Linked DNA regions of Drosophila melanogaster. The protein of the gene in region 2 purifies or fractionates together with the protein of the main gene of each other region. This does not show direct contact. Each region holds a gene or a part of one and is shown on either strand. Other genes may lie near its edges.

Region 1 (10,447 bases), on a different chromosome or scaffold from region 2:
AGTACAATTCGCTTAGCGGACTTTGCCAAATTCCGCATTCTCACGAACTGATGCTGCAAACAATTGCATTTTAAATTAAAGAAATAAAAATGAATAGGCCTACAATGTCCATTATTTGTGGAATAATAACATAAACATTCATTTTAAAAAATAAAAATCTGGCGAAGTTTCAGCTTCAGGAGATTGAAGTCCTTTTTCATTACGAGCCATTCTTATCGAGACTTTCTTAATCGGTTTTAAAATTCTTAAAATTCTTATTATAAAATATAGTGTTTGCTTGTGATACCTTTTTTGCAAAATTTCAACTCAATTTATATTATATAAGTTTTAAAAGTGTACTTCCAGTATTTCCTTAATCTAGAGTTCCTTAAAAGTTATTATTCCTCGAAAATGTCAAAAGGTCGAAAATCCTTTACTTACATTCAGTTTTTTTTCGGGATTACCCATGAGTTTTCTTCATATTGATGATTTGATGTAATGTGAAGCTTTGCGAAATATACTGCATTCAAGGGGATTTCTTGAACCGAACTAACTGCTCTCGGGTTAGCCCGCGTTTCCCTTGCAGGACCTCCCTCTCAGCTATCCCGGAGCCAGTGGCGCCCTGGCAGGCGCGCCCAGCTCCATGGCCTGTCCGAATGGCAGTGGACCGCAGACCGGAGTGGGCGTGGCCGGAGAGCAGCATATGTCACAGGAAACGGCCGCCGCGGTGGCCGCCGTGGCGCACAACATCCGCCAGCAGATGCAAATGGCAGCGGTTCCGCCCGGCTTATTCAATCTGCCGCCTCATCCGGGAGTGGGCGGTGGAGTGGGCAACGTTCCCGGCGCAGCTGGAGGCAGGGCCAGCATATCGCCGGCCCTGAGCAGTGGCTCCGGACCAAGGCACGCTCCCTCGCCCTGCGGTCCCGCCGGCCTCCTGCCGAACCTGCCGCCCAGCATGGCCGTCGCTCTGCACCACCAGCAGCAACAGCAGGCGGCGCACCACCACATGCAGCAGCTGCACCTGCAGCAGCAACAGGCCCACTTGCACCACCATCAGCAGCAACAGCAACAGCAGCAGCAGCAGCACCATCAGGGCGGCCATCAGGTGGCCCACAAGTCCGGTTTCGGTGCCAGCTCCAGTTCCTCAGCCTCCTCGTCGTCAATGGGCCAGCACCATGCGCCCAAGGCCAAGAGCAGTCCGTTGCGCAGCGAAACGCCTCGGCTGCACTCCCCGCTCGGCGATCTTGGCCTGGACATGGCCAGCTACAAGCGCGAATTCTCGCCCAGCCGCCTCTTCGCCGAGGATCTGGCCGAGCTGGTGGGCGCCAGTGTCTCATCTTCCTCATCATCGGCGGCGGCAGCGACGGCTCCTCCGGAAAGATCGGCAGGAGCAGCTTCCGCAGCCACAGGCGCGGATGCACCCAGTTCCTCGAGCAGTGGAGGCATCAAGGTGGAACCCATTACCACCACTAGCGAGTAAAGGGAGTAAAGGGAGGGTGAAACGAAGGAAATGATAAAGTTGAGAAATGATAATGGGTGAATGAACGCAAATCAGAAGCTTCGGCAGCTTTACTTGGCCTGTGTAAGCCTACGCCTTGGTTAAATTAAATTAATTTAAATTATATATTATTTATTATACGTGGAATCTGTAAACTGCATTCCCCGATTTATGCCCATAGTGCAAATTGATTGAATTTGGCCCGAGAAAACCGCATTAGGCATTGCATCCACATATTGTAAACGAGTTACTTTCCAACTACATGATATATCACATTTCAAATTATAATTATGTGTAAATAAACTAGATATATACGTTTTGAAGGTTTCCTCCAAATCTTTGCGTTTTCACCTCGAACAATTCCTACACTTGATATCCAATCGAATTTACAAATAAGCTTTAACCACGTTCTGTTTATCATATCAAAAGTGTACATTGCAATCTATTGTAGTTAACCAAGGTGTAGGCTGTCGCATTAGCCAGTTTTACTCTAGTTTCCTCCACGCGATCTTCGCCACCTAGTTTCTATTCCTAGCGTACTTACTGAATCAAAATTAAAGTATTATTATGTTATAGTCCATCAGTCTAACTAACTAACTAAATAGCGACCGATCTCTTTAGTTGTAAGCTACAGCGAAGGTGGAAGCAGCAAACCCGGAACATTCCACAAACCATTCGAAATCTGTTTCGAATGCAACTTCAAACTTCAATTGAAACCGAATCAGAAGCAGGATGATCCACAAATCAAAGCAGTTTAATATTAATGAAATGGAATAAAATCAAAAGAGTTTAAGCGGATTTAACTTGGTAATTGTGTGCCCGAATTTGGTTTAGTCTTTAGTTCACGAGAAGCGAGAAAGAAAATGTACAAAATTATCTAAAAATGAAAAAAAAAAAAATAAAAATTGAAATCGAAGCTTGTGGCTTCGAACGCAAATGGAATCAACTAAATTTAATGTTTAGGCTTAACAAAAAACAAAGAAATTCACAAAAAATGCCTTTCGGAATTAAATTCAGCGATGAATACACCGCAAACAAAATTTGTAAAAAGAAAACAAACAAAAACACGTGAACTTTTTTAACGTATTTATACAATCGAAATTTTTAGACAAAATTTAGAAGCAACAATTTTTTACACCGAGCCCTGCTGCTGCTCCCGCCGAACTCGAGGCCACTGATTTCGACATTATTGGAAACCCAACGTAGTCCCCGAATTGATCCCGCATCAACCCAAATCCCCACTAGATCCCCTTCTAAAGTGCCTTTTCTAGCCTTAATTTGGACTCTGCTCCACTTCCGATCCGGTCGAGAGCGAGGCCAAGGATTCGCGGCAGGACTCGAGGATTTATTTGGCAAGTCTGGCGACATTACGATACGATTGAGTATCGGAGAACGTACATATATGAGTATCTCTTTATTTGGTTTAAACCCCTTTTAGGCATTTAGGCATACTTTCGGCAACGTTTGGTTTGGCAAGCACACAATTGATTAATCGGACAAGAGTTAATTACGATGATAATGATAAACATGACTATTTTTGCATACGCAAGAACATCTACCATAGCCATAGCCCGTATATAAGCACACACGATATATAAGTATCTATGTAATCCCAGTTCCCCCAATAGACTTTGATGTTCCCACACGTATCGAAACTTAACGAATTACTTTCGGAATAGGATGTAATATAAGCAGTGGCAAGAGTTAGCGGCTAAATCTCCTGGATATTGTGTATCTTTGTACGATCTGGATCAGCGTCCAAGTCCACGTCCAAAACTCAACATTTTCTATAAACTTTAGTGCAAACTTTATGTTCAAATTAACTTTAAATGTCGAAATGAATGTTCTAATTAATCGAAGAAAACAAAAAACATAAAAACTTAAAAACGGAAAACCGAAACGAACAAAAAGTATTTTATAAAAACATTGAAAAGTAACCCAACCTGAAAGTCTTCTCATTGCTTACCAAACCGTTGTCTTGAATCTTGATTCTTGATTTTGCATTGCGGTTTGGCTTAGTGTTTATTGGGCATATCTTAGTGGAAACTGGAAACTGGAGACTATCCTTGCAGCATGCATCTCTCAAAGCACAAGAGGCACGGCCTCTGCCACCGGCTGGTTGATCTCCTGGTGGCGTTGCAGTAATCCCAAGCACTGGTGCAGGCACTGGGTGCTGGCCGTGGAGATCGCCTTGAGCAAAAGAAGATCGGGATCCGTTGGCGAGAAGGAAGCGCAGTCGATGCTCTCGATGGCCCTGGCCAGAGAAGCGTTGCTGGAAGGGTTTGGGGATAGATTTATAGATTGCAGGAGGTAATGCGGCGTTAGCTACGAATCACTGTGCAGTTACCATTGTTCCGTGAGAAACAGAGCTTGGCGCGCTGAAACCATGGCATCGGAGGCGGCAAGCAATTCCCGCGGAGGAAGCGGCGACGAGTTGCTGATGTCCATCGCCTTCATGTGACTCTCGACCACCGCCCGCAGGCCATCCACCCACTCCTGACGGGCCCTGGCATCGTTGGCCCTCAGCTTTACCGTATCGCCGGAGGCGCAGGCGATGGCGAACGTCCTAGAGTCCTCGTCACTCGGGTACACCACTGCGCCGGCCAGCTGCACCTGGCCCCTGGGAGCACTGGCCAGGACGTGGGGCGAGGGCGCGATGTCGTCGCCCACCGTCGACGAGTCGCACAGGTAGTAGCTCAGCGATCCTGTCTTGGCGTCCACCGTAAACCAACGGTACTGCCATCCTGCAAAGTGGATGCTGCGATTAGGGAAGCGGTTCTAGCGGGGATTCTATGGGATGGAGAGCTTGAAGGTGCTGCTCCAAAGGTGAAAGTTTGCTCACCCTTCATCACATTGGTGTATTTGCTGAGCTGACCGCAGAGTTTCAGTTTGGCCGATTCACGAATGATCCTGTTCAAGTTGCTCTCCATTTTGGCGGCGGCGTCCTTGGGATCGGGGCGCACTGGGGGCGTGGCCTGCCGTGGGCGGTGCTTCTTCTTGCGCTGGCGAAGCGAGTTCTTGATTTTGCGTAAAATGTTTGCAGGTATATTAATTTGATTCGGGTTTATTTGGTAAAACTCGGCAGAAACGGAAGCTAATGAACAACAGACAGTGTTGTATCAGCGAGCTTATGCTAGCAGGCGAGCATCGATAGTAGTACAATCGATGCCTGTTATCGTAGATAGTTGGTATTTTTACATATTATTTAAAAAAAGTCAAAATATTTAATATTTAATCATAGGTATCATTTTGAGATAATCATGAGCGTAACTATGTAGACTTTTTTAAGAAAAACTCTACTCAATTGCGATGCCTTATGACTATCGATTATTAACACCTATCGAGGCACGCAATCGGTGTGCTCGATTAAAAAAGGCTGAAAATTCAGTTTGTAAGCCGTTTCGGCATCTGGTCACACTTGTCGTTTCGCAAAATCCAATTTGTTTAAACAAAACAGAGAGCGCCCGTTCGTAAAATCGCGGTTTCTTGAAAAATGAAAATTTTAGCTTAGCCCGCGTCAAGTCGCGAACTGCGTGCAACGGTAACTTGGGTGATTTTACCGGTGGGAAAGCGTGTGAAAAACAAAAGCAGCGCGAGTGAAAAAAATCAATTTGGTGGCACAAGCAGTGGCAAGAAGAAGAGCCAAGACGCAAGAGAACTGCTTGCGGATGATGTGATGATACAGATATACATAGCATATACATATGTATATACAGGCTATATATACGTCTGGAGTTTGTGTTCAAATTGAGGCAATTAAAACATAGCGGATTTTCGCCCGTTCGCAGTGGCGAATGTTGTGTTGAGTGTGTATATTTCCAAATAATGTTTCAACTTGTGTGCCTGCCTGCGCGAGTTCTATTTGATGTTTTTATGCTGCGTGTGATTTATGACATTTAACGGGAGTACATATGTATACATGTGTGCACATGCCACATACACATACGCATATGTATGCACCCCCATGCGAGTGTGTGTGTTTGCCCGTCTGTTTGTATCTCCCTCTCACTCCCACACGCACGAAAGTGCGAGGGTGACTGAAGAAAAAAACTCCACTCCTTGCATCTAAAAATAGGAAAACTACACAAATTGTGTGCAAATTATGTGTAGCATTTAGAAAACCAAGTGAAATACCCATTGCTAATCTGCATCTCTGCTTCCCCACTCATTTTCCACCCACACACACACACGCACACACGGGCAAACACACGAAAACCGCAACAACACAAACACAACAGCAAAAGAGTGACCATGAAAATGCCAGCGAGAAATTTGCGAAAATCAATGAGCAAAAGCAGCGGTTCATAATAATAACTAATAACAGAGCCAAAACAAGTGAAATTCGAGGCTGGAATTCGTTATGCTGCAGTGCCCATCGTCGGATTAAAAAACGGGCGGAGACCCCCCAGTTTAACCCCTCCAGTGATTAACCCCCGGCCGCTTTAACCACCCCTCCCCCTTCCCCTGCCGACGGCATGGACGGCCAGCGGGCCAGGGATCTCCTGACCCTCCTCCAGGAACGGGTCGTCTTCCTCACGGGCGGACGGGACCGGCGCGGCGGACCGCTCCTCTGCTTCCCGGCCACGCCCCGTCGCGATCGCCTCAAGCCGGAGGATCTGCGGCGTCTCCTCAGCTACCTGATCAGCATTCCCAGGTGAGGATGTAGTTGCTACTACCACATAGGAATAGCCATTTAGTTAGTTAGGTTCTATTGACATCCAATTGGATCTGGGCAAAGGTCGTCCATCTCAAAATTGTCTATGTTATAACTATATTTATGTTATCTATGTATTACGAAAGCACACGTAGAAGTATAAATATATTAAAATACAGCAAGATAAATAATTATGAACATATTGCCGAGAAAAAAAAGAGTGCAGCTAATTCTTAATCTATGCCTGCACTTTATTACGTTAAGTTATTGTTTGATAAGCACTAGCCATGATAATAATTTAAAATTGCAATAATATGATAACACTCAGCAAAGTAAAGAGGACCATTTTCATATTTTGTACATTTAAATATGTTGCTTTTCTAGATTTCATCACAAACTAATTGGCTTAATTCGTAGCATAGACATTTACATTTTTATAGACTTTTTGATTTACGAGCTATAAATAAAGCATAGAAAATTCTTGGAACTTATAATGACTCACCCAAATCATCTTGCACCTAATTAAATTTTACACTTTTCATCTTGACATATACATTCTATATATGTATATTTGATCAACTTTTCTTTAAAAACGTCCAGCTTAGTTAAGTGCACTCAAAGTGGATTGCATGACTGCCAGCTTTAGTTACAATTTAGATGAATTGAAAACGTCAAGTTCTTAGATATTTATACTGCAATGTTGCCTTTGGCGGCACAAGTCCAAATTTCTCCGGCCTCCTGCATTTTGTATTTACAGCACAGGGAACTCTCGTTAGTAAACAACTTTTTCGGCTTGGAGACTAATCACGAGTTTGTAGCTTTTAGAAATCGTTGTAAATAGCATCTTCGATCTTTAGTTATGTAGTTTATTTGTATTTCGATCTCTTGTTAAATTCCGAATACCACGCAGCTGCGGTTTCGCGTTACTGGGGCCTTACTGTACCAGTACAATGGCAACCCATTGTGTCAGCTGACGTCGCGACATCGCTGGCTGCGCTTCGTTTGCAATTTCGGAGGAGTCGCGACGTCGTCGCCTCACCCGCACCAACATATATATATCGTATATATATATATTTTGAATAGGGGGAGGATGCAGGGGTGCTCGCGAGAGGGGGAGGAGGGGGAGAGCAGCTGCTGCAGCTGCATTGCCACATTCCACTTGATTTTCCTGTTATAGTCGTCGTTCGCCTGCAGTCGCATTTTTATGAATCATCATCGTTCGACGATTGCAAGAACAGCACGCACATTGTTCTTGGCTCGCCCTCTCTTTCTCGCCACATATGCCCATCTCTCTCTCACTCAGCTGGCTGCTGTTGACATTGAATCGCCGAAGTGCGGGTCAAAATGGGTGGCACAGAGGGCCATGGCGGGCTAAAAAAGTCATAAAAGTAAACGTTCTCCAATAAAAACTAGCAGCAACAAAAGTTGCATAAATCTGTGCGGCGAAGAAAGCACCGAGAACAGAGAAGAAGAAGAAACAGCAAAAGAACACACAGATACAAACGCATACATACATACATATGTATGGGCAAAACCGGGGACCGGCTTCCAAAGTCTTTAAGAGCCGAACTCGAAGAATGCGAATATTTTTTGCTGCTGCCCCAAAGACTAAAAAAAACCACAACAAAAACCGAAATGAGCCGTAAAACGAGAGGAAAGAAAGAAAGAAAGGGTAATTTGGGCGAACAGTGCTGCCTCGATAACACTGACATGCAGACATTTATAGCACTCTGTGTGCTTAAAGTAAAAGTGCGAGTCTAAATCCATTGTTTGCTTAATTAGATTGAACAATAGTTTTGGCTAACTCAACGATAAATATCCAGTTAAAAGTTTCCTGCCTCCAGACAAATAAAGCAACCATTTGCAGCGCTGGCTTAGAGAATCTCTAGAAACTGCCATCGAGATGGCTGCCAACGGCAACAGACTCGAAATGATAATCAGACCCTCGAGTCGATGATGATGGCGACCCGAGATTGCGACACACGACAAGAGTATCTGATGAGATGTAGAAATAGTATCTGCCGCCGGGCGCGAGCATGAAATCTGACATTCTCCAATCATCGAGAAAGGGAGAAACACACGTATCGCGCCTATTTGGTCATGCTCATTGGCGCAATCATAGGAAGATTGCAGATTGATTGCTGCTCAATGGAAGCGCTAACAAGTTTTCGCCAGCCATGATGAATCACTGCAAACCGAGTTCCCACGCCGCCGCATCATCCCATTCGGCTGTTATCAGTTATCAGCCGGCTAACAAGCAAAGCATTGTACTATCGCTGTCCCACATTTCAATGGATCCCCCCCGTCCGGAAAACAAGCAATCACACTTCAGGTTCGGCCGATAAGCAAATCGACGTCGTAGTCCATACATACTCTCTGCTCCAAATATACGAAATGGTACTGGGGTTTCCTTATCTCATCGCCGCCATCCACGGCATTTGCGGTCCGTTCTGGCAGTCTGCCCACTGTGCGCTTTGTCTGTGCATTTCTCCTCTTATACCTATACCCTTTCTTGGGGTAGATCTCTGGCAGAAAACCACTGGTGACCAATGGTTTCTAAGAAACTATGCCCAAGATATGTGGGTTGAAAAGAAGTGAAGGGTACTCATTGCGTCGATTCCAATTGCATAACTTCCCCCTTTTGTTTTGCTTGCCTTCGTTTATGTTTCGCGTTGGTTTTTGTTTATTTGCTCTGGCGTGAAACACTTTTTGTTTATTTCTGCGCCTGTTTGTGCCTTTGTCTCTCTGTTCCGAGACTCGGCCAAATTGGCAACTGAAGTCAAGGCGTCTTCTTACTGCTGTCGTCAATGCAAATTCCGTGAATCGAGCGAATCGGGGGAGTTCTCAGCATTTTAGACACGTACATTCCCTGAACTTCCTTCGGGGGTATTTCGTGGAGGGAACCTCGGATTTATGGGTTAAATAAACGATTTTTGATTGGACTTTGTGTTTGGTTTCTTTTGGTCGACTTTTTAGAATGCGGGCGACACTTTTCCTCCTGTCCTCGTTTCCCTCTGTCTGGGCTTAAATTTCGATTTTTAATAGCCCGTTTCGAGGGTTTTATTAGTCATCAAAACGTTGCCCCATGCCCCTCCAGAGAAATACACCAAAATTTCCAGATATGTTGCACGATAAGAGGTTGCGGGCGGGTTCGGGAACTTTTATGGGGTTCAACCGTTGGGAACACCAGTATTATTCTGGATTCTCAAAGAGCTTCGTGCTGGCGGTAAACTTACTCGAACCCAAAATGCATTCGAAGAGACTAGACTAGACGCCTCTTCACTTTTGCATTGTTCTTCGGGGGCAAAACCCCTAGTAATGCCCATGCCCATCAAGCAACCGCACGACATACTCGTATGTATAAACACGAGAAGATAACGTGGTTAAAACCGGGAACTTAGAACGATTCGAAACCGGCCACAATCGGGCCAAGAAGTAGCGGCGAAACAGAGGGCATAATAGGAACTATAGGCGGAATATCGGAGGAGGCGGAGTTGCGCACACATCAATGAGAGAAATATTTATAGTTAATGGAGCGATTAAAATTCAAAAGGAATGCAAATCAGAGCGTTGGGCGGGCTGGGCTCTGGGAGGCCGAGGTGTGCAGGAAATTATTAGCTGAAATTGGTGTCAGAGCAATAGAAACCGACCCCAGACCAAAGAAGCAGCCGTTCCGTCTTAATTTATGCAAGCGACGTAAACAGAGCAACGAACCATGAGCGATCCGCGACACTCTCACTCACGTACTGCTGGGAAGACACTACACTCAAAAAAAAAAAAAAAAAAAAGACTCTAGCCACCTGCCAGTCATTTACTTTGATTGAAAGCAGTACCAAGTACACTTTCTAAGATACCTATCATAAGTTAATATAGATTGTTTACTGGATACTACGAAAAGATACATATGTGCTATGTAGTATCTACCAATCTAGGCAATAGCTTTCCCCAGTGTATCCACACTATCTCCTAGTTCTCTTTCGATCGCTCTCTCTAACCGAACACACCTTTCACCTGGCTTATTTTCAGCGACGCCGCCAAGAACCTCGGATTCACAGTCATCATTGACATGCGAGGCAATGGCAACTGCTCGACCAACGTGAAGACGATACTGAAGGTGCTGCAGGAGCACTTCAGCGCGAATATCCACAACGTGGTGATCATCAAGCCGGACAACTTCTGGCAGAAGCAGCGAGCCTCGATCTCCTCGCACAAGTACAAGTTCGAGACGACGACGGTGTCGATTGAGTCCCTTAACAAAATCGTCGAGAGCCATCAGCTGACCGGTGACTTTGAGGGCCAGCAGCTGTACGATCACC
Region 2 (10,656 bases):
AAAAGCGGCCAGACAAAGGGGAGGGGGTGAGCCGCAGATGGGGCAGGCGCTTTTCCGTCGCCAATCAAGCGATCGATCTACTTTGAGGCAGCCATGGCCACAGTTTATCGCCGACCGGCGACTGCATTTTGTTGACCGATAAGTCCGAAGGGGGTTAAGCATGGAGAGCAGCACGAGTGGGCGGCAGGGGGTTAAGCACGAGGCGAAGACGGTGGTGGTGGGGGCTCGTGGTCGTCAGTCAAGTAAGTTCCAAAGCCAAGACCAACTTCATTTGCTTGCCAACCAAAGCGAGCGACTTTTTCAATTAATGTAGCCCATGGGCACGCGAAACCTGAAACCAGAAAATGCAAGAAAAACAAAAAAAAAAAACACCATAAAAAAGAAATGCGAGCCCGAAGAAGCGAAGATGCAAAAGGGGGGCTGGTGAAAAAACAATGCAAAAACTTTGTTTACTTTGCCAGCCTGTCTTATCGCTCGCTCCACTGGCCACAAAATAATTACCGAAGCCAGTTCCAAGCTCCCCACCTCAAGTTAAGAAAATCATCCGGTAGAATTGAGTTCTTTTGGCCAGGGCGTGGCGACCAGCCCATATCACAAATCTCGGGAGCCTAGAGAGCTAGAGAGTACCCATGGTAACCATGGTACCCCATGGCCAGCACTTTGGCACTTCGACTAAATGACTGCATTTAAAAAACTGTTGCCGACTTCCGTTTCGGCCGTTTCACTCCTTTGGCATCTGCTCGAGGTGATTAAGTGCGATTCGAGGCGTGGAGGCAGATAATTTCTGATATTTTATAGCCCCGCTGGTGTGTATGGAGTCGGGAATGCTAAATGGGCAAATGGAGGAGCTCCGTCCGTCCAAACAACCAACCAACCAACCAGAGGTGTGAGATTTGCCGTTTAGGCCCGTCCAGGCCAGGCTTGTTTTAACGGCACTTTAAGCCACTCAGCCGAACAAGTTAAGTACGAAATGATCGTTTTTTTTTCTCAAGTGGGCTGAATGCCATTTCTTCGCTGGAATCTCTAGCCGTGTCCTTCGCTGTAATGCAGTGGCCCCACCTACGGATCACCCACGCAGACCTATGCAAATAGGCCCTAATCCTTGAGGAAACGCCCCCGCAAAAGGTACAGTGTGCTAAATGTAAAGCGAAATACATTGTTGCCCAGATGCTTTTATGGTCAGAATGATTTCCTGTAACTGCAGCCAGATCTTTTCTCTTTCTTGCAGATTCTCCAACGAATCTCCCTTCCTTACTTTAGATTGGTCTAAATCTGGATTTTGAGGTTGCGTGCATTGAACTTTTCGAACATTTCGGGTTGCAGAATCGGTCTCGGCTTGTTGTTGTTGTTGTTGTTCTTGTTTTGGTGTTTGTGGCGGGTTCAAGTGAATTATTCATGTTGTCATGTCGAATCGGCGGAGGGTGGGTAGGTCCGGGTTCGAAGCTGCAAACGAAATTGCATTCTGCCAACGCAGCAGAAGTTACACAGACAAAAAAGTGCAGTTCGTTTTTATCAGCAACATCACTAACTTATTTTCATTTTTTAATAGAAATGACATTTTTTTTCTTACTTTAAACCATTTGATTTGGTTAGTGTGGAAATTGTTTGTATCTTAACCTATTTTTTTCGGTGTCAAAATTGTGCCGACTCTTGGATATCTTTGTTTTTCGGTTTATTTGGTGTCGAATACGGTTCCTCCTGCTGTTTTCCATAAAAATTCCAGCAACATGAGTTTCCCCAAGTATATGCAACATCTAAATTCTGTTTTTTTTTTTTGCCTCCTCTTGTAAGGAAAACAAATATAACACAACATTTTTAATTAAATGACAAGACCAACTTTTGTTAAACCAAACTTCATTGGCAAAAGTTTATGTGCCGGAACAGAAGTTGTCATTGTTGGCAGATGAAAAGCCTGGCACAATGCAAATCTCTTGAGAAAGAAACCGAAGAAGACATCTCGCAGCGACCATCAATAAGTGCCATAGAAGTGAGATATTTCCGAGTCCTTCAAGCGACTCTTAGTCATGCATATATGTGTGTACATACATCTATATGGAGTATACATCTTAAGAACCCACAACCTTCGAAAGACGAACAATTTCCGGCGCTTTGTCAACACTTCAGAGTGACGTCCGCGTTTTAAACACCATTGAGGGACTTCGCATCGGTTCGTAATTAGTCTGCATTCAACGGAGAAGAAGTGACCTCATTCGAGTCCTCTAAACACTCTCTCCCCGACCGAATGTTCCATTCCTTTCTTTTGTCACATTGCGACACAGAGCCCCGGGGCTATAACCACCATATGGAAATGTTTATTTTGACAAGCGCACCCTCGGAACGAGCGGAAAAAATGTGTCCAGGAATATGAAAAGGGGTGCGAAATTAGAATAACATGTCACTCATATATTGTATCACGTAATGCGGCTAAATGTGCTCCTGGCCACGGGAAAAAGCCAGTGAACGCCAGGGTGAGGCGACTCGCCCAGGACAACATCAAACAATTGCCACAATTCACGGGCTAAAGAGCGAGGAAATATGACCAGGAAAGTGAAAACACAGAGCGCCACAAATAAGCACGAAAATGGGAACAGGACCTCGCACGTGAGTTTTTCGTACACGGTATAAGTAGGATCCTTCTATAAAATCAACTAGTTTGTTTAGCAAGATAGAAAAAACCACAAGGGTGTCTTAAGGCCACATAGATCTAAAGATCAAAATAAATTATTAAAATGCTTTTCTATAATTTAATTTAACTAACACGGAAATGTCTAACTTTGTCTTACTTTCATAGTATCTTATCAACCTTAATTGATGCATTATTATACGGTACTAAGTGGTCGTGAAGCCACGTGAGTCCATTGTTGTCACACAATTCTTTTCAGCTAGTTACACCCATGTAAGTAAAGTTGTTTTCTTTTTTTTTTAATTACATACCCACCACATAAAGCTTGAAGTTATGTGAGGGAATGCTTTTAATTAAATCTGGCATTAAGTCCTGCGACTTATGACATGCCATGACCTAAAAATTTGTTCAAAGATTTTTCATTCCATTTGCATATGACATGCCCCGACAATTTTTTACGACCGCACTTTTTTTGGGGTCCTTTTTCGGGCTGTCTTGGAGCTGGCGTTGATAAATTTTGCAGCTGATAAGGCGGCTCCCCGTTTTTCCAGGACACTTTTCACTTTTAGGGGTGGCTTTTCTTTCTCGTTTCGAAGATGGCGCAGAGACGAGATTCACGGCAGGACATTTAATTTGTTTGCATTATTTGCGCCTTTTGCGGGGATTTCCATTATCCCTCCCTCATTTTACGCGATTGTTTATTTCTCCAGCCGAAAATGGAAATATGATAAGCCTCTAAGCCACCCCTGGCTTAGTTTTCAAACCAAATCAATCAATTGATGCATTGTGCAGCTGCCCACCGATCTTGGGTAATCTTCTTCTGGGACCTAAAACTGAAACTGTGCCTGATCCTAAAACCTAATTGCATTTTGGGCTGCACTGGTTCTACCTGCGCTTACCTACCTGATCCCCTAAGATCACTTGTTCCCTGGCTTTGAGCTAATGATAATGACTCTTACGGCTACCATTTTGTTGGATTCTATTTCTTCGATTTCAGAATACTTTTTCACAGGAAATCGTGTTTGTTTTGGCTCAAATAATCGCAAACAAGTGCGTTGGTTTTCAATTCATGTTGTGCAGTGTTTAGTTTATCTCGTTTCAAGCGAAGCTCATTAGTAATGTTTAAGTTTTGAAGCACTATCGGTTTCGCAACCATCCCATTTTGAGTTCTTATCTGCAGGTGATATGATGGGAAGCAATTACGGTGAATTACCCCGGGTGATTGGCACATGTGGATGGAATAGGGCAGGGTTTTTGAAAGTACCTCAATTTTACGAGTGCAAAAAGAGCGCGAGTTGCGAAATATGACAGCTTATCGGATCAGTTCGCCGTTGACATCACCTTTCGCACATGAGGCTTTTTTTTTTTTGTGGGTCCCAATGCCTGCTTTCTGGCACGTCGACCAGACATCCAGTCGCCAAAACTGTACTTGCATTCATATTTGTTAAAATACAGATATCGAACTTTATGGTACCCGAATACACAACATAGATAGGGAATTGTACGAAGAGTAAAGTAACAGATAGTGTCATAAAATATGGTGGATGAGTGTAGTGAACTAAAAATTACTGGGCTGACAAACCACGTAGTTCATCTATTCGTACTATTTAATCGTAATATTTATTGAAGTGATATAAACTCATCTAATCTACCGAATTTATACACTGTTTTAGATTATTTCCTCCTGTCAGAAGGCAATTAAGGCGCAGCCCAAGAATTAAAGTTCAATCACATGTTCATAAAATTTTTTTTATATCTTTTATAATCTCTTTAATAATCTATATATGTACACAATTTGATAATGTCTTTCTGTGTAAGCAACTAAGCTTGGATTTCATGGGTCTTTGGTTTAAAATTATAAATTGACAACCTGCACAGCGAAAGATAGAAACTATCTACATTTTTATAAAGCCCTCTTACGGCACTTTGGTGCAAAATATTTATCATTTCAGATTGAAGTTCTCACCTTGACTTGCCAAACTGCTGCCAATCAGCTGGAATATGAGACAACTGCTGAGCAGCCAGTTCCACAAAGTCCTGCTGCTTCTGTTTGTTGTGATGGCCATATTCTGTTTGCTTTTCGCTGATTTGGCTGGAAACCGTCGTTTGCGATCGGAGGTAATTCGAATGGCTCAGGTTTATTTGGACTTTTGCGATTTGTTTACAACATTTTGGCTCTTGATACCCGCCAATCGCCGATTGCGCCTTCTATTTGTATCCTTTGCACCCACACATACACGCGACGCAAACACTCACACGCGACTTTTACTCACTCCACTTTTGTTGTGTATTCTTGGGCGATTATTGCTTTCGATTCTCTTGTTTTACGCTATTCGCATCAATCGTTTACGCGTTTTTGTTTTGCCGGCATTCGCCGCCTATTGTTGTTGTTTCAGGTCTTGTTGTTGCTGTTATTGCACGCTTGCAAGCGGGGCATTTTTACAACAACAGAAAATACTATCAACAAATTGCGCACACACACTCGAGTAAGTAGCGTTGTCTCGCTCTAACCTTCGGCAGGCATCAGGACTTGCAGCTGCAGTTCTATTTAAAACACATTTTCAGCGGCTGTATGTATTATTTGAGTGCCTTTTTCATTTATTTTCGATTTTGGCTGCACTTATTTTAATTTTCTACCTCTTTGCGATGGATTTTACTATTGGCAAACGCGTTTTCTCGCCACTAAAGAGTATACATGCGCGCAACGACCTCGACGACCGAAAAAAAATCCGAAACTGTCGAAAAAATCCCTAGCTGCGCGGGTGATGCGAAAACACATCCGCTATCGATGCTTATCGATGGTCTCACTACTATCGATGACGATGAAATGACTTTCGCACCATGTTATTCTTGCATATTATAAATTCATTATCATTTTACAAAGGGGTTTCCATAAGTAACGTAGTAATCAGTGCTCAGCTTTCTTACTAACGTAATCATAATATATTTTAATGACTGTCATCGACATTGAAAAGCAATCGATACTGGAGTGCACATCACCAAAAACGCGTTAAGGTCAGTTGAGCAATTTATTCCAAATGGCGCGTAATTCAAAAGTTAGGACCAAAGTCAATTACACATCAAAAGCAACAAACATTATTATTTCGAGGACATTTGCAGTTGGGATATTAATCATATGAATTTATATCGGTATTCAAAAGGTTTGCTCCTATATTTTTAAATATTTTAAAATTTCACATATTTTCGGTTTTACTTTACACAAATTTCTTTTTATGAGAGTCACAGGAGATTAATACTTAAAAATTTTAATGGCTTTCGAAATGTACCTCAACTTTCTCCCCGACTGATCTTGTTCATAAGTACGTTATTTCAGAAAAATCCTTTGACAGAAAACTTTATGCTCAAACCAATGGGAAAATCTCCTGTTTGAAATGCATTTTTTGCAGTTGGCCAGTGATTGCCACCCCCGAGCAACCGACGTGCAGACAGGTTGTGGTTAAAAGTTGTGGCTCTAAAAAAATGCATGTGGCAAAGGAACACTCATTTTAAAAGCGCCGACCAGCAACCAGCAGGAACTTTAAAGGCTGAAAAAATGAACATATCACTTTTCGCCTCGGAGAAATGTGAACGCAATAAAAAATCCGACCAAGGCCGACAAATTGTTGGTTGGGCGTGGGGTGGGGGGCGTGGCGTTGAAATGATAAATTTCACATTAAATGCCAGCGCTTAAGCGAAAGCGTCGTAAAAATAAACGACGGGGTGAAAAAGAAGGGGGAGGCATTTTTTTTTGGACTGGCAGGCCGCAAAAATAAGTGAAATGAAATTCCCTTCATTAGCGTATCATCCGTATGCCCACAAAATGTGGGTCAAGTTTCGAGGACTTGGATCAAATTACCAGAACCGGAGATTTTTCGCTGCTAATTGCAGGTTTTTTAAAAGCAGCACACACATTTCCCCACCAGACGCCACTGCAATTTTCAGTTTTAATTAATCCGAGCTACCGAGTCTTTCGAGTATCCGTATCTGTATGTGCATCCGCATCCCTGTATCTGTTATGCCAGCTTGAAGTTGGGCAACTTCTGGGCACCCACAAAACGCGGCGACTGATGGTGATTTGGATTCTGATTCGGATGTTCTTCCCATTCAAAGCTTTTAGGTGCCGACACGAAAAGGCGCTTAAGTGAATTAAGCCTGTGTGTGGTAATATATAAATTAAGGCATGCACTTCGGACATGGAAATTGCTTAAATATATAAAAGGTTCTCTCGTTTAACTTGGCAAATCCATTGTTCATGGCACTAAAGACTTTCACTGCAAATCGCTTCCTAAGAAAGTTGTTAACTTGGGTAGAACTAATAAAGGCAAAGATTTTAAATCCAGAGCCATTAGGAAGTTCAGAATATTTGCTTAAGTGATACTTCATGAGTTATGATATTCTGGAAGGGATACAATTAAGTTTGATTTTAAATTAGGTATATAGATAGAGTTTAAAGTACTTTCTGTTAATAAAAACCTGATTAATCAGGGCTTACTATTATTAGTATGCATTTCCATCACTTTGATTGTCAGTCGGCTAAAATAGTTGGCCATTTCCCGACTTAATTGGCGGCGACAGGCGACGCAGGCAGCAAATTGCGACGCCTGGCAGCAACAACAATGGCCAGCAAACCGGTGAGAGAGAACAACAACAAAGTAAGTTAAATTAAGTTAGCGTCGGCAGACAACAAATCTCGGCTTGTGTGCCTGTCCATATGCCCATTGCGCATAAATCAAAATCAACTTGTAAATTTAATATGTCGCTGTGTTTTTCTTGTTTCCACTCCTTTTTTTGTACCATATTTTTTTTTTGTGGCGCTTGCCAGAGATTCGCTGATGATTTATGCTGATGTATTTTGAGCGCCAACGAATTGCCGAGAAAATACAACAAAAAAAGTGTTGGGGATTACAGAAAAATAATCAATTGAATGTGCAAAAACTAGAGAGAACGCTTCGATTGGGTGTCTCGACAATCAGATACCCCTTAACTAGCTAGTAAGAGTGCAAGGGAGTACAAGAAATAGGAAAAAACTCTTTTCCAGATTGCATTTATTATAATTGTAATTACCATGTGATTCTGATCATTAATATTCATTATTACTTCATACTTCATAGGGTCGTAAACTGTTACTATTCTACGAAACTAATATACCCTGTTATGCAAGAAAAACAGAAAAAACGAGTTGTGGCTAAAAATTTAATTAAATCGAGTTCTTACAAGAACACAGCAATTAAAGAAAATTTTAAAACAGTGTCAAAAGCAAAATTGCATTATAAATAAGTGATCAACTTAAGTATTTTTCTGTTAAAGCAACCTAAGATGAAAAAATGTAAACATAATTTAAAATATTTATATATATACCTAAAAAACATTAAATTTAAAAAATCATTAAAAAGATACTAAGTGAGAGATTTGCTTATAATCAATCATTGTGTATGCATCATAAAGAACTTATTTATTTTCTTAGAAATTTCCGTGTAAAAATATGCAACGCGGGAATATCCAACAAAAAACAACAATATAATTGTCACACATTAAAATTAATTGGAAATATCTTCGTGAACCTGAAATCCAGTCTATGCGTACTAAATTATGCTAATTTTGGGAACTGCTGACAGTTTGACACTTTTTCTTCGATGTCTTGATGTGGATCTGGGTCTCGGTCGTGGTTGTAAATTGTGGTCATGAGTTAGAGATCTGTGGAAAAGCCAGACGAAGTTTTCCCAAGGAAAACAAATATTTTGTGTGAGGTGGAAAAGCATAAGTGGAAACGAACGTGAAATTAGGTTGCTTTTAAAAAGAGGGGGGCTTTTTGAGTGGGTTGGAGGAACTCCAGTGGCATAAAGAGAGCCAAGTCCAAAACCCCACCAAGTGCAAGTATGATGCATGTGGGGCTGTCTCAGTTTTGAGTGCAGGGAGCAAAATAAATGAGTTTGTCAGCCGGCAGCGACATGATTTGATAATTGGTTTTAAAAGAAATTCGAAAGCTGAAGTTGCAGTTGCAGTTGTGGGGAAAAAACAGGAAATGGAAATAGTTTGGCATTTCAGTTTTTTGACAGTGAAAAGATAAGTTAACTTTTAAAAGCCAATTGCAGAAGGCGTTTGGGTCATAAATGCGTAACATAATAATTTGGAATTTTAAACTGGAGTTTGAGTTAGCCAATCAAATTAAGAAATATGATTGAATGGCAAATGTGGTGCAAATATTCTTTATAGCTTTGACCTATACTTGCAACTTGGGTTTATGACCACAAAACTTTTGGCCAATGACACTTGAGTGTTGGGTTCCGCGAAATTGGCTTAAAGAACAAAAGGAAATGACTTGACATGGTCGCCAGGCTGACTCACAGATGGCGGATCAGAAGTTTGGGCCTTTGGGTGGGGCAATGTGGGGCCACTCACCCGGATTGCGAGTCATTTAAAAAGTTCGATGCGGTTATGTAAGACCGTGCCCCCCTACCAATTCCAAATGACGCATATTTGGGAAAAGGAAACATAAAATCAGCATAATTCCCGACACTTTGTGACCAGATTTGTGACTTAATTCCCGAGTGGCTAAGTGACACATCTTAATTACGCACAAATTTCATCACAACTCTCAATGGGCATCCATCCGTCTCCTGGGCGCCCATAATAGACTCATTAACTTGCATTTGGCTGGCTAGGCTGGTAAAATGCAAATCTGCTCGTTTTGTGCAGTTTTATACCTCGTGTGCTGCATGCTGCATGTTGCATGCTGCTCATCGCTCATTGTTGTCGTTGGGGCGTGCAGTTGCACTTGTCGGTGGCCATAAATTAAAGTTCTGGCTCCCCCTTATGGTGGGAAATATTTGTCGCATGCCAAAAATTGTACAAGCGACAGCATTTTCAACATGTTGGCGGCAGAAAATGCATTTCATGGCCTGTCTGGGCTGCAGGATGCCCCTTTTCCGAATTAAATCCCAGCAGCTGTTGCCGATGGGACAGGATGGGTGGGCGTCTGGCCAGGAAAGCATATCCTTGGCAATGGTCAGTCAAGTTCAAGGCAAGGCTAAGGATAAAAAGGAGCGGATGCAGTGGCAGAGCTTCAAACTGGCAGCAGCTGGTCAATAAAAGCCGGGAAAAACTAAGGAAAAAGTCTTTTCGAAACAACTTACAGCTTTTACTAAAACTAAATATCGAAAAAAATGTATCTAAAGCAATACTTAATAAAAACGTAAGCTATTACTCGTAAATAAAATACACTTCAGCTTCAAATTTTCGGCTAAACGAGAGATGTTCTTTAAGCATTTAACCATCAAAGTTTTCCCCACTTTCCCAAAATAACTCATCACATGTTTTTGCCGTAAGTCCGCCTGTCGCGAGGAAATTAATTAAGAGGATCCTGCACTTTTTGGGCGATTGTAGGCAGGCAGGCAACTTCGGGCCAATAAATCCTTCAGCCTGTCACAAAACTCCTTGGAGTCCTGTTCCTTTTGACAACGTGGCAGGTGGGAGATAGGCAGTAAGAACTTCACTTTTGCGGAAAAGGAAGAACTCCCTTCGTGACGCAGACAAATTAGTGTAGTTAAAATTAGCAGGCGACTAATTTGATTACGAGCTGATGAAAAATATGCCGTCGTCATGTCCTAGAGATTTTAATAGGCGCCCAAGCATTTTCCGGCAAACTCCGCTGCAGTTTGCACATAATTAAAACACAATTGGAAACGACAGCGGAGAAAAGAAAACAGCCAAGTTTATTTTCAGCAAATCGAGAGAATATTATTCCTAATTGCCACTGGAATGTGTCAGCTTTACTTTGTCAAATTTTTCGCACAAATATTGACAGAGATTTTGATTGCGAAACGCAAGAGTTTCACATCTCAGCCACAGGCCAAAAATGTTGAGTAAACATTTGGCCAGCAAACAGCAATGACTTGCTCCAAATGAAAAGCGAAATGGAAGAGAATGTTATGGACTCTGGATATACTGGCTTAATTAAGTGACAGGGTGAAATATTCCCAGGAAATATCTACTATTTCGAGGGCGAAAGTGTATTAAAGTGAGCCAAAAAGAAA
Region 3 (10,636 bases), on a different chromosome or scaffold from region 2:
AATTGAGCTGAGAGATCACCTGAGGTTTTTTGTTTTAACTTGACCGCTTGCGTTATCAATTTTTTGTGTGCGCGCCCACAGACAAAGTAATCGACTGTAATCTATTAGGTCATGCCGTGACAGCTAAATATGACTATTCCATGGCATCGAATGTTCGCATTAAGTAAGTTTATTCAAAGTGCCCTGGCAACTAAGTGGCACAATTGCGCTAAGGTTACCCGTTTTCAGGAGATTAGGTTACGCGCAAGTTTCTACTACTATTTGACTGACCCCCCGTGCGGCATCTTCAAGTTGGGGGTTGGTTGATGTCATTACATGCATTACTCGTACACAAAAATTCGCACATATTAAGTGCCTGCTGCCTGCTGTGGCAAATAACAACTTGATCTTTGACTGTCACGCTCGTCTAGGACGGAGGCATGGAAAATTGAATATCGTTAGAGTTTGTTGATCTTTTGGGATTTTTTTTCCGCTGCAATTTCGCGATTATTGGCACCGGGTAAATATGCATCATTCATTTCAAGGGCCAACTAGTAAAATATTCTAGTATTTGCTTTTGGTAAGTGTGGGAGTCGGAATAAAAATAAAAATTGTTCTGAAGTCATCAGCCAGCTTGCGAAGCTAACTTTTATTCGTAATTGATTTAGAATATTTAAATTTATTATATAAATTAAGGCGCGCAAAGTCAGCTGTCTGGAAAAACCCCAAATTCAAGCGATCTTGGTACCTTTCCACTGTATTTTTCCTGCATGGCTAAAGTTTCCTTTCCTTTTTGTTTTTTTTTTTTTTATTGCAGATTCCAATTGCGCGGCCCGCTGATCATATGGAACACCTTGCTGGCCATGTTCAGCATCATGGGTGCTGCCCGAACGGCGCCGGAGCTGATTCACGTGCTGCGTCACTACGGACTCTTCCACTCCGTCTGCGTGCCCAGGTTGGTATTGAACTCCCCATCGGCCTTGCATCGACAGGTTCCAGTGCCTGTCTGTCCGCATGACCTGCTTGTGCGGCTGGAAACTTGATTGCCATATGCAAATCAACGATCACTGACCGATATTCCCAACCTTCTCCCACAGCTACATCGAGCAAGATCGCGTGTGCGGCTTCTGGACCTGGCTCTTCGTGCTCAGCAAACTGCCGGAGCTGGGCGACACGATATTCATTGTGCTCCGCAAGCAGCCACTCATCTTTTTGCACTGGTAAGTTTAGCGAAACACTGACTGGGCATCCAAGATCCACTCTTAGAGTAGTCAAAAAAGATGGAGTGATAATATAACATCCTGCAATATGCTCCATCTTTGGAGAAAAGCTACTTATGATGACAATTTGCATCACATGTGGCGGCATCTGCTAGAACTTGTACTCATGTACCATAAGGAATACTGCTGTCTAAGTTCAATCAAAGAGAATTTCCTTATATTATTATTACTAAAAGATAAAAATGCCCTTTCACTAGACAAGCAACACCAGTAAACCAGTAAAAATACGTTTTATAGGTGCAGTGAAGCAATACATATGAGTCATAGCGAATTACTTTTAATGAGATTCACTGACGGTTATTTCGGCATATGAAACTAGCGTTAATTATATGTTAGGCTTAGTTAGGAAATAAAAGGTGCGAATTATTTGTGATATAAGCTGTTTCGATTGATCAAAATGATTTGATTTGAATATATTGTAGTTTCCCTGAGAACGCTAACAATTAACTAAACTTGAACTTTATATTAATTGAATAGTTTTCGCTCACAGGTATCACCACATCACCGTGCTGATCTACTCGTGGTTCAGCTATACGGAATATACCAGCTCTGCCCGCTGGTTCATCGTGATGAACTACTGCGTGCACTCGGTGATGTACAGCTACTATGCTCTGAAGGCGGCCCGCTTCAATCCGCCCAGGTTCATCTCGATGATCATCACGTCGCTGCAGCTGGCTCAGATGATCATCGGATGTGCGATCAACGTGTGGGCCAATGGCTTCCTGAAGACGCACGGCACCTCCTCCTGTCACATCTCGCAGCGCAACATCAATCTGTCGATCGCCATGTACTCCAGCTACTTTGTCCTGTTCGCGCGCTTCTTCTACAAGGCGTACCTGGCGCCCGGTGGTCACAAGAGCCGGCGCATGGCCGCCTCCCTGGCAGCCCAGAATGTGGTCAAGCAGTCGAGCAGCCCCCAGCAGGCCAGCGAGAGCTCCAAGTTCATCGGCGCTGGCGAGGATCAGGCAGCCTATCTGCGCAAGGCCAAGGCGCAGTAAAACGGAGCTCGGCACACCAGCACCTAACTCCCATCATCACCACTCCCCCTGTTTACGGCTAAGGACCTTTATTTATGTAGCGGTGTACAAGTTGTTTTTTAATTTTAAACCTGGGTGGCACACGACCGGTCGGATGAGAGTTTAATTTTGTAAGCCAAAAGTTGTACCGTGTGGACAGGCGTACGAACCATATATCTGAACATGTATATAAAAGAAGAAAAAAACAGACGAACCTAAGCTAACCAAAACTCAGAGTCGAGTCAGAATAAACTCTATGTAATTGAGGGGCAAAGAAGCGAGCGCATGAAAAGCTTGAATTGAAATCTCTAGATCTCTCTAGGGATATGTGAAAGGAACGCAAGGAATTTAGCTGCTCACTAGTTTGCATGCGTTTAATTAATAGTCACTCCTCTTGATATCTCTCGATGTATTTCCCAGCTGCAGTTCTAGAAGTGTCGTTGATGTATAGAATTTATTTATATTTCCGGTGTTATTGACATGCGCCAAATGAATGTTTTGTTTTCCACTAGCCCCTGAATGTATTTCGATATTTGCGTTGTCAGCTATAATTTACCTCTCGGGTGGAATTTTGTGTTGCCTCCCAATTTTAGTTAAAATTCTCAAGAAGGATCAGACTCCTGCCTTCAGTTTGGATATCGCACAGTTTGCGATACTTGAACGACAGGCATTTTTGGTTGAAATTGAATTTGATTTACTGGAGAACTGTTTTCCTAAAATCACTTGTAGTTGGGGTCTGAGAACTTTGTACTTCTAAGTCTATACGCATATATATTTATAAAAACCTATATTAACGGAATATTAAACACGTGAAAACGGAATACCAACCAATAACAAAACACTAAGTTAGTCTATTGTTCCAAGATCCAGAGCGCAAATTGTTATTGTAAAGTAATAAACTGTTTTCAAATCTGTAAGAACAAACAATATTTATAACAGTCGAAAAGACGTCTGATAAAATGTTGCTGACTGACTGGATTAAGTCGAAGCATTGTCATAGTCACCAATAAAATATTTTTGAAATTTTAACATATATTCCAGTCAGTCAGTATAGTTTTAACCAGTGTGTCAGTCATGCTGCAATACAAAAAGTTCGATTCTGTTAGGGGAAGGCATTTATTTAGTTAACCTGTGTTAAATGCATTTGAATATTCCTTCAAATTTCTTGCTGCTTTTTGGTAACTTAACAAAGCCACAGAAAGTCCTTGAACGTAACAAAAAAAAAAAAAAAAAAGAACGTAAAATAATAATAACCAGAGAAAAATTAAATTATATTTATACTTGTAAGCGAACAGAACAGAAGAGATCGCATGTGAAAGAGCAAAACCGAGAAAATGAAAAGCAAAAGTCCTACTTGAAAAGTTAATTTAGTGTAAGCGAGGAAAATGTAACTGAAAATGAAATCGGAGCAGAAGCTGAAGGAGGATCGTGTGAATGGAGAGAAGGATCGATTGATACTGAACTCTAGCAGGAGAGAGAAATTGAAACGAACAAACTTGAAATTTCTGTCGGGTATACATACTAAATAATAACTAAGCAAGAACACTAAAGATTGAGAATGCTAAACAAAACCAACGGATAAATAAAACGTAACAAACGGAAAAGGATGGAAAGTATTGCAGTTGTATTTATTAGTCGGGCTAAATGGGAATTTATGAATACATCTAAAGGCATATTATAAAAACCGTAGCTTGATTATTCGATGTTTTTAAATGTCAATTACATTTTGATTTGAGTCAGTTTTCTCTTAAAATCAATAAACTAAACTAGGGTTGACGCAATAGTCGAAAAAATTCGAAGTGTATCCATGAAAAATTAAAGATAATGTTATAAGTTGCATTGCATTGAAAATCTAAAGAGAATAAACTTTTCCTAGAAAGCTATATCAAGATTCTTTTAATTCAAATTATGTGTTTTAAACGTTTGAATTTAATTTTTTTTTGAACAACCAAAAATTAGTGTTCACAATCATGGAGTTTTTAAGCACTGGCTTACTAAGCTAAGTTAACCACCCAACCAGTCCGTGTCGCGCACCCATCATATTGCATTAGCCGAGTTTCTTACCAAACTAGCGCTGCCAACGCGTTCGTAAGTACTAAGCATTTATTATCAATATCGATACGTCTATCGGTATGCTGCCAAGTAGGGTATGTTTAAACGACCGACAAGCGGTCACACGAGTGCAAGTTGGATTCCAATTCGATCCGTCGCGGTGCGTGGAAAAAATGCACAGATGTAGATAAATCAGCAAGCAACGCTAGCAGATCAGATAGAGCTATATCGTCGCGAAAACCGATTAATTTGCCATGTTCAGCGGATCAGCCTGCGGATCAATTAAACCGTAAAAAACAGAGCAGGCGAGCGTAAGCAAGAGAGAGAGGTGAAGCCAGAGGCGGAGGCGCAAGACAAAGTGCATTTTCAGGGCGTGTTTTTGAGACCCCCCTCGCCAGTTAAGCTCACCCAGCCTCCCAGCCGTCGACAAGAAGTTTGCCGACACAACATTTTACCAACATGCTGCAAATTCGCAATTGCACCTGAGCGGCCACTAGAACAACAAATCAGATAAATCGCAAACTTCCTTTTTCCTCCGTGCGTGTGTACTTCTGTGTGTGCGTGAGTGTCTCCAATCTTTTTTGTCTACTCCAAAAACGCAGAAAGAGAAAGAAAAATGTGTGCGTGTGTGTGTGTGAAATAAATTAAAGCAAAGCAAAAGGCAAAACGGCAAATAATTGAGCAAAAGGCCAAGAGAGAAGAGTTAAAGCTGAAGTATATAACAAGAAAAGCAAAGCAAATAATAAGTAGTAGTAGTAAGCGAATAAGCCGTAGCAGCAGGAGCCGAGAGAAGAGAGAGAAAAGTGTACAAGTTGTTGTTGCTGCGCAAGAGCGAAAAACCACCCAACCACCCACTGGCAAATGGGGGCTCAGCAGGGCAAGGACAGGGGCGCCCACTCGGGAGGAGGCGGCTCGGGGGCCCCCGTCAGCTGCATCGGCCTCTCCAGCAGCCCAGTGGCCTCCGTTTCCCCCCACTGCATCTCCAGTTCCAGCGGCGTCAGCAGCGCCCCCCTCGGCGGGGGCTCCACGCTCCGTGGCTCCCGCATCAAGTCCTCGTCCTCCGGCGTGGCCAGTGGCAGCGGATCGGGCGGAGGCGGTGGCGGATCCGGATCGGGGCTGAGCCAGCGTAGTGGCGGACACAAGGATGCACGCTGCAATCCCACCGTGGGTCTCAACATATTCACCGAGCATAACGGTAAGTTCCTGCAAGTGTTGGAAAACAGGCATCGAAAGCATGCTAAGTACACAGAGCAAAAAGCATATTTTCAAAATTTGAAAGCCTTGTTAAGTCAAATTAAACGAAAAACGTCTGTACATAGTGCACGCTCAATCAAAATCGTTTTTATAAAATTAGGTGTGCACTAAAATTTTGTTTTCTATTCGAAGTTATTTAGTGGTTTGATCATTTTGTGTTTCGATTTCTGTAAGCTTGACTTATTTCTCATTGGTGTTTCTTCTTTTACATTGGATCTTAGAATTATTTTCTTGCACATTGTAGTTTGAGTTAAAAAGGCATCAATCGTAGAAATCATCTGGACCAAATCGATCTGTATAAGTGTTGTGTAACATACATATAAAAGTCAGAGGATGCACAAACATGCATACATTTGGAGGTCCCATTCACTTACACACTAATTGTAAAAAATTGCATGCAGCCTCCAAACTCAGGTGTAAATTCCATCATAGTATTGTGACTTTTCTTATTATACATGGAAATTGTTGTTGCTGTATTGCCAATTGCTCAGAGTTGTGTTATCTCACATCCACCACAATCATTTCAATTCGTGATGAAATCTTTTGATATTCCATACAACAGTTTTTAAGGACATTCAAGAAATCAGTAACTAAAAACTTATTCAATGGGGGTACTTTCAATAAAAAAATGCTTTTTTAAGCGTGCTCTTGCCATTAAATCTCTTTTGTAAATATCATGTAAGTTTTGATTTATCTGCCAGTTTGGGCTGCACAGTGTTGTATTTATTGTTCATAAAGTGCAGTCCACTCGGCTTTCCCTTTCCCCCTCTCTCCTTCTTTATGATCCCCGCCCTTCCTCTATATACGCTGCTTTCCAATTGAGCCAATTTCTTTTTTCCTCCATTTCTTCCGATTATATAGGAAATTATTGTTGTTATTGCCGGCTAGTTTCATACTTGTTGTTGCTTTTCCGCTGCTTTTGTTTACTGGAGAGAAGGAGAATGAATGAGAAAGAAAAGTGAAGGAGAGAAGAGAAAAGAGAGAGAGCAGCACGCGTTGCTGTTGTTTTTGTGCTGCTTGGGGCGGTTTCAATCCGCATTCGTGCTCTCCATCATCCTTTATCCTTCGGCCTTCCTCGTGGCACCCTTATCCCTGCCACCCGCACAGTGGTTGAAATTGCGACCCACAACACCGTTATCCCACCCCCGCTGACATATTGCCATTTCCTCCACTTTTCCGCATTTCCCCTTGCATTTTTCCTGCCCTTCACGCACTCACGCACATTTTTATTTGCCTCATTTTTTTGTCTAATACTTTTCCATTATTTGCCCTGCCAAGCTGCATAATTTTTTCTTTACATCCTCCCCGTTTCCGCATTTTCCGCACACCCACTTATTGGGAGACATTTGCCGTTTCTAATAGCTTTTTTATGTCCATGTCGACGAAGTCCTACCACAATAGGACCCACAATCGGGTGGCATTCGGGATTTTCTCAAGACTACCGGAAAAACATTTGTCAGGTTATAATAGTTACGCAGACTCAGTGGTAGAACTTTTTTTTTAACAAAAAGCATAACTATGTATGAGAATACATGACGAGGGTCGTATTAATAGTAAGGTAGTTTTTTAACTTGAAATCGTGTTGCCTTATTCCCCTGACAATTGCAAGCCATTTTCGCAACAGCTGTTTCAAACTGAAAGTGGACTTTTCCGAGTTTTGATATTTACACGCGCGACAATCTGTTCCTAAATGTATTAAATCCATAAATTTGCTTAAGTTCGAAAATTGAAATTTAATCCTTTATTATTTTACTTTTTAACTTTTGATGTAAATACTTCCTTTTGCAAACTATTCATCTCCCAAACGAATGGCTTGGCCAAAGTATTGATTTTTCCTTGGCACTCCAAGCTGAGCCACTTTTCCCAGATGATTTACAATAAGCTGTAGATTTTTCTTCTTGCTCTTCTCAACTGGAAGCCATTTCTTATCTCGCTCTCGCAGAGGCTTCCGTCTCACCAAGCAATTTGTAATCAATTAATGCTATTTTTATTATAATTAGTCGCTTATTGTGTGCATTAAGTTCAGTCAATCTCTCAGCTGGTACGCTGATAAGCCGGTTTTCATATAAATATTTATTGACGCTACTATTGAGTCATCGCTCCGTGCGATGCAATACATATGTACATATGTATGTGACCATCATCGGAAAACAAACAAACGACATTTTCCAGCTTCGTGCGGTGTTATTTCCCAGAAAAACACAGAAAATTCGCCAACGAAAATGCACATCTATTTGCCAAACTAGCAGAGTCTGTGTGTGTCTCATCATCCAAAAAGGTCGAAATGGGGGCCTGCAATTGCCTTTTTCGTGTGTCTGGCCTGCGAAATGCAATTACAGAATTACAATGTAAAAACGGTGTGTCTGGCTCAGCAGATTACAAGGCAGCACAAATCCCAAAAACCGAAACGGAAAGCCAGCCAGCCGGACTCACCGCAATTGTCAGTCCGGGTGGATCTCGGACTTTTAAGTGGGCGAATTTGGGGGGAAAGTCGCGCTATGCTTCTCCGACTCAATCAAAGTTAAATCCACCCACCACACACGTAACTAGGCACAGTGGGATAAAACCATTAAGTAATTGTTGAAACTACAATATTACAATAGTAAACACATCGTTAAGTATTAAGAACTTGTGTGCATATTGTTATCTTCAAGTAAACAATTAAGGCACTTAATAAATACAAGCAAAGGTGTTAAAGCTCTATTATTTTTAGATTTTTAAATAAATTTGCAGTCTCAAAAATTAAAAAATGGCATAAATTTCTCTTGCTCTAATTAACAGAATGTAACAGAAATAAAAAACAAAGTGAATGAAATTCTTCGGCTTATTACAGTGCTTTAGGCTTTACAGTGCTTTAAGGCTTCTTAAAAGATAAGAAATTAATATGACATTTTTTAGACTAATAATCCAGCTACGACGTAGCAAAAGCAATGTTCAGAAGGCGTAGGCGTTGTGCTAGTTGCCATTGCAATTGCAATTTCATAACCTTGTTGTTGGTCGTAATGCGATACAATGTAATTAGATACTTTGGGGCGGCAGTTGCATTGGCCAAGGGATTGTTGGATTGTGTGTCGCCCTGGGAAAATACCATAGAACCGGTGCAGATGCAGATGCATAATCAGTTGGAGACGCCTCAATGGAGTTGCCAATTGCAGTTGCAAATGCAGCACTGCTGGAAACCCGGGGCCACCGTAGCCACCACTTTGCAACCAACTCACGCAAGTTGACGACTCAAAAATAGACTCAAGTGGGAGAGAAGCCACAACTCTTTCCATCGAGGAGAAAGAAAATGTGCATAAAGTGCGTTTGTCCCTGCACTTGCAAAAGAAAATATGTTTTACAAATTCCACAACTTTTCTGTATTTTGAAACCAGTCATTTTGCTATATCATCAAAATATTTTGGAATTTAACAAGTGTTGTTTGATAACCATTTACAGTTACCTGGATTGGTTTGCAATTTATTTTGACCATAATACATTTTACACTTTGAAAAATGTATGCATGTCTACATTGTAAATTAATTGTAATTCTGAATTGCAATGTAAGCGGTAAGCATTAGGAACTCAAGAGAACTAATACATTATGCCACTTTGAAATCAGAATTTAACCAAATTATAAACTTTCAAAATTTTCTTGAGCCTTCTGTAGAAGCATTGAAAACTCTCATCTCAGATTTTCTCGCAGTGTACAGTGTACTCTCCTCTATCTTTTTCGCACAAGCAGGGAAATCCGAGTGTTGTGTTGGTCTCACTTTGCTGACATGCAAGCGGCAAATTATGAGCCGGGGCAAATGAACTTTTCACAAGGCTAATTGGTAGGAAAAGGGGCGAGAAAACGGGGGGCGGGCCAGTCAGGTGGCACACAGGTGACGCGGCAAGGAGCAGTTATGTTTACTCTTCGACTTTTCCTATCACCCCACAAAAACCCCTCAATAACCAAAAAACAAACGGAATAATGTAGACGTCGCATAAATATTTCCCCAATGATTTTATGTGCTCAAACATAATTGTCATAATAATAAAGCACTCAGAGAAAGGGAAATCAGGGAGGGGGGAGGGAGCGAAAGGCGGGGGGGTGTTGTTCCCCATATCGAAGGCGTTGTCTCCATTACCACTTTGTACCACAAGTCTTTTCTCTTTCGCGGCTGCACTTCTATTATTAGCCCCAAAACGAAATGTGTATCTTCCATGCTTTCAGTTGTTATTGTCGTTTTTATACAATTTCCTTTGGCGCTGACAGAGATTGAAAGTTGGAGGAGTCGTCGCTGATCAAGGGGCGTAGTTGAGATGGCGAACCGAAGGGGGTCTTCAAATAATAAGAAGATTACGTTGATACGAGAGTTAAAAAATTAAATATCTATGGGTAAATAGTTTTTAATTAATTATGATGAAATGTAATGAATAGAATAAGCATTAAAAAAGTTTCAGTAAATTCACAAATTGTTAATCTTCGTACTTTGTTATATGAAGGAAATAAATTCTTCTACGATTACTAATGGTATTGACATAATTGGTTTAGCTTGAATATTAAATATAAGTACACTGGTTCTTCTGCAAAAAGTGTGCTTATTGTTTCTCTTTTTGCGCGCATAAATCTATCTGTTTTATGGCGCCCCCTCTTCGCTGACCTTTGACCGCGCCCCTGACTTTCACCAGGGCAGCAACAAAGTGCACAACTCTTCGTGAGTTTATTTTGCATGTGCGCCATCCCTTTCTGGCGCGGTATTTCACCAGGCGAGATATATATGTATATGTACATACATACATAGTTTCTGTGGATGTTCCTGTTCTCGATCAAGCTCGTAAATCCTTTCGTGCTCCATGTTCTTTCGGTATCGGCCTCTATTTGTTCTTTTTGTTTTTTTTTTGATGATTGCATGCCCTGCGCTTTGATGTTTTTTTTTATGTTTCTATTTTTAGAGCAGTGCGCTTCCATTTCTAGTTGCTTAATATGACCTCCTCCTCCTTCTTGAGCTCCCCACTCCCGCCCACTTTCATATATGGGTGTGTCAATCCAATGGGAAAAACAAAGTAGCGCCAACAGCTGTTCAAATT

Evidence for each region.
Region 1: the proteins of fra (region 2) and trio purify together in Drosophila melanogaster (affinity purification with western blotting; one study listed by BioGRID). This does not show direct contact.
Region 3: the proteins of fra (region 2) and Abl purify together in Drosophila melanogaster (affinity purification with western blotting; 3 studies listed by BioGRID). This does not show direct contact.

Annotation. Positions count from the first base shown.
Region 1 is NT_037436.4:1,029,334-1,039,780, reverse strand, and holds the start of trio (trio), read left to right. Parts: upstream 1-4,905; 5' UTR 4,906-5,283; intron 5,284-5,715; 5' UTR 5,716-5,952; coding exon 5,953-6,131; intron 6,132-10,157; coding exon 10,158-10,447. Other genes in the region: bab1 (bric a brac 1), read left to right, coding at 548-1,459; CG9205 (uncharacterized protein), read right to left, coding at 3,560-3,749, 3,825-4,221, 4,320-4,407.
Region 2 is NT_033778.4:12,523,760-12,534,415, reverse strand, and holds the start of fra (frazzled), read right to left. Parts: upstream 5,364-10,656; 5' UTR 4,690-5,363; coding exon 4,590-4,689; intron 1-4,589.
Region 3 is NT_037436.4:16,641,696-16,652,331, reverse strand, and holds the start of Abl (Abl tyrosine kinase), read left to right. Parts: upstream 1-4,449; 5' UTR 4,450-5,188; coding exon 5,189-5,522; intron 5,523-10,636. Other genes in the region: baldspot, read left to right, coding at 797-934, 1,077-1,199, 1,750-2,257. UniProt on the Drosophila melanogaster protein: Arm and Abl proteins function cooperatively at adherens junctions in both the CNS and epidermis; critical for embryonic epithelial morphogenesis regulating cell shape changes and cell migration.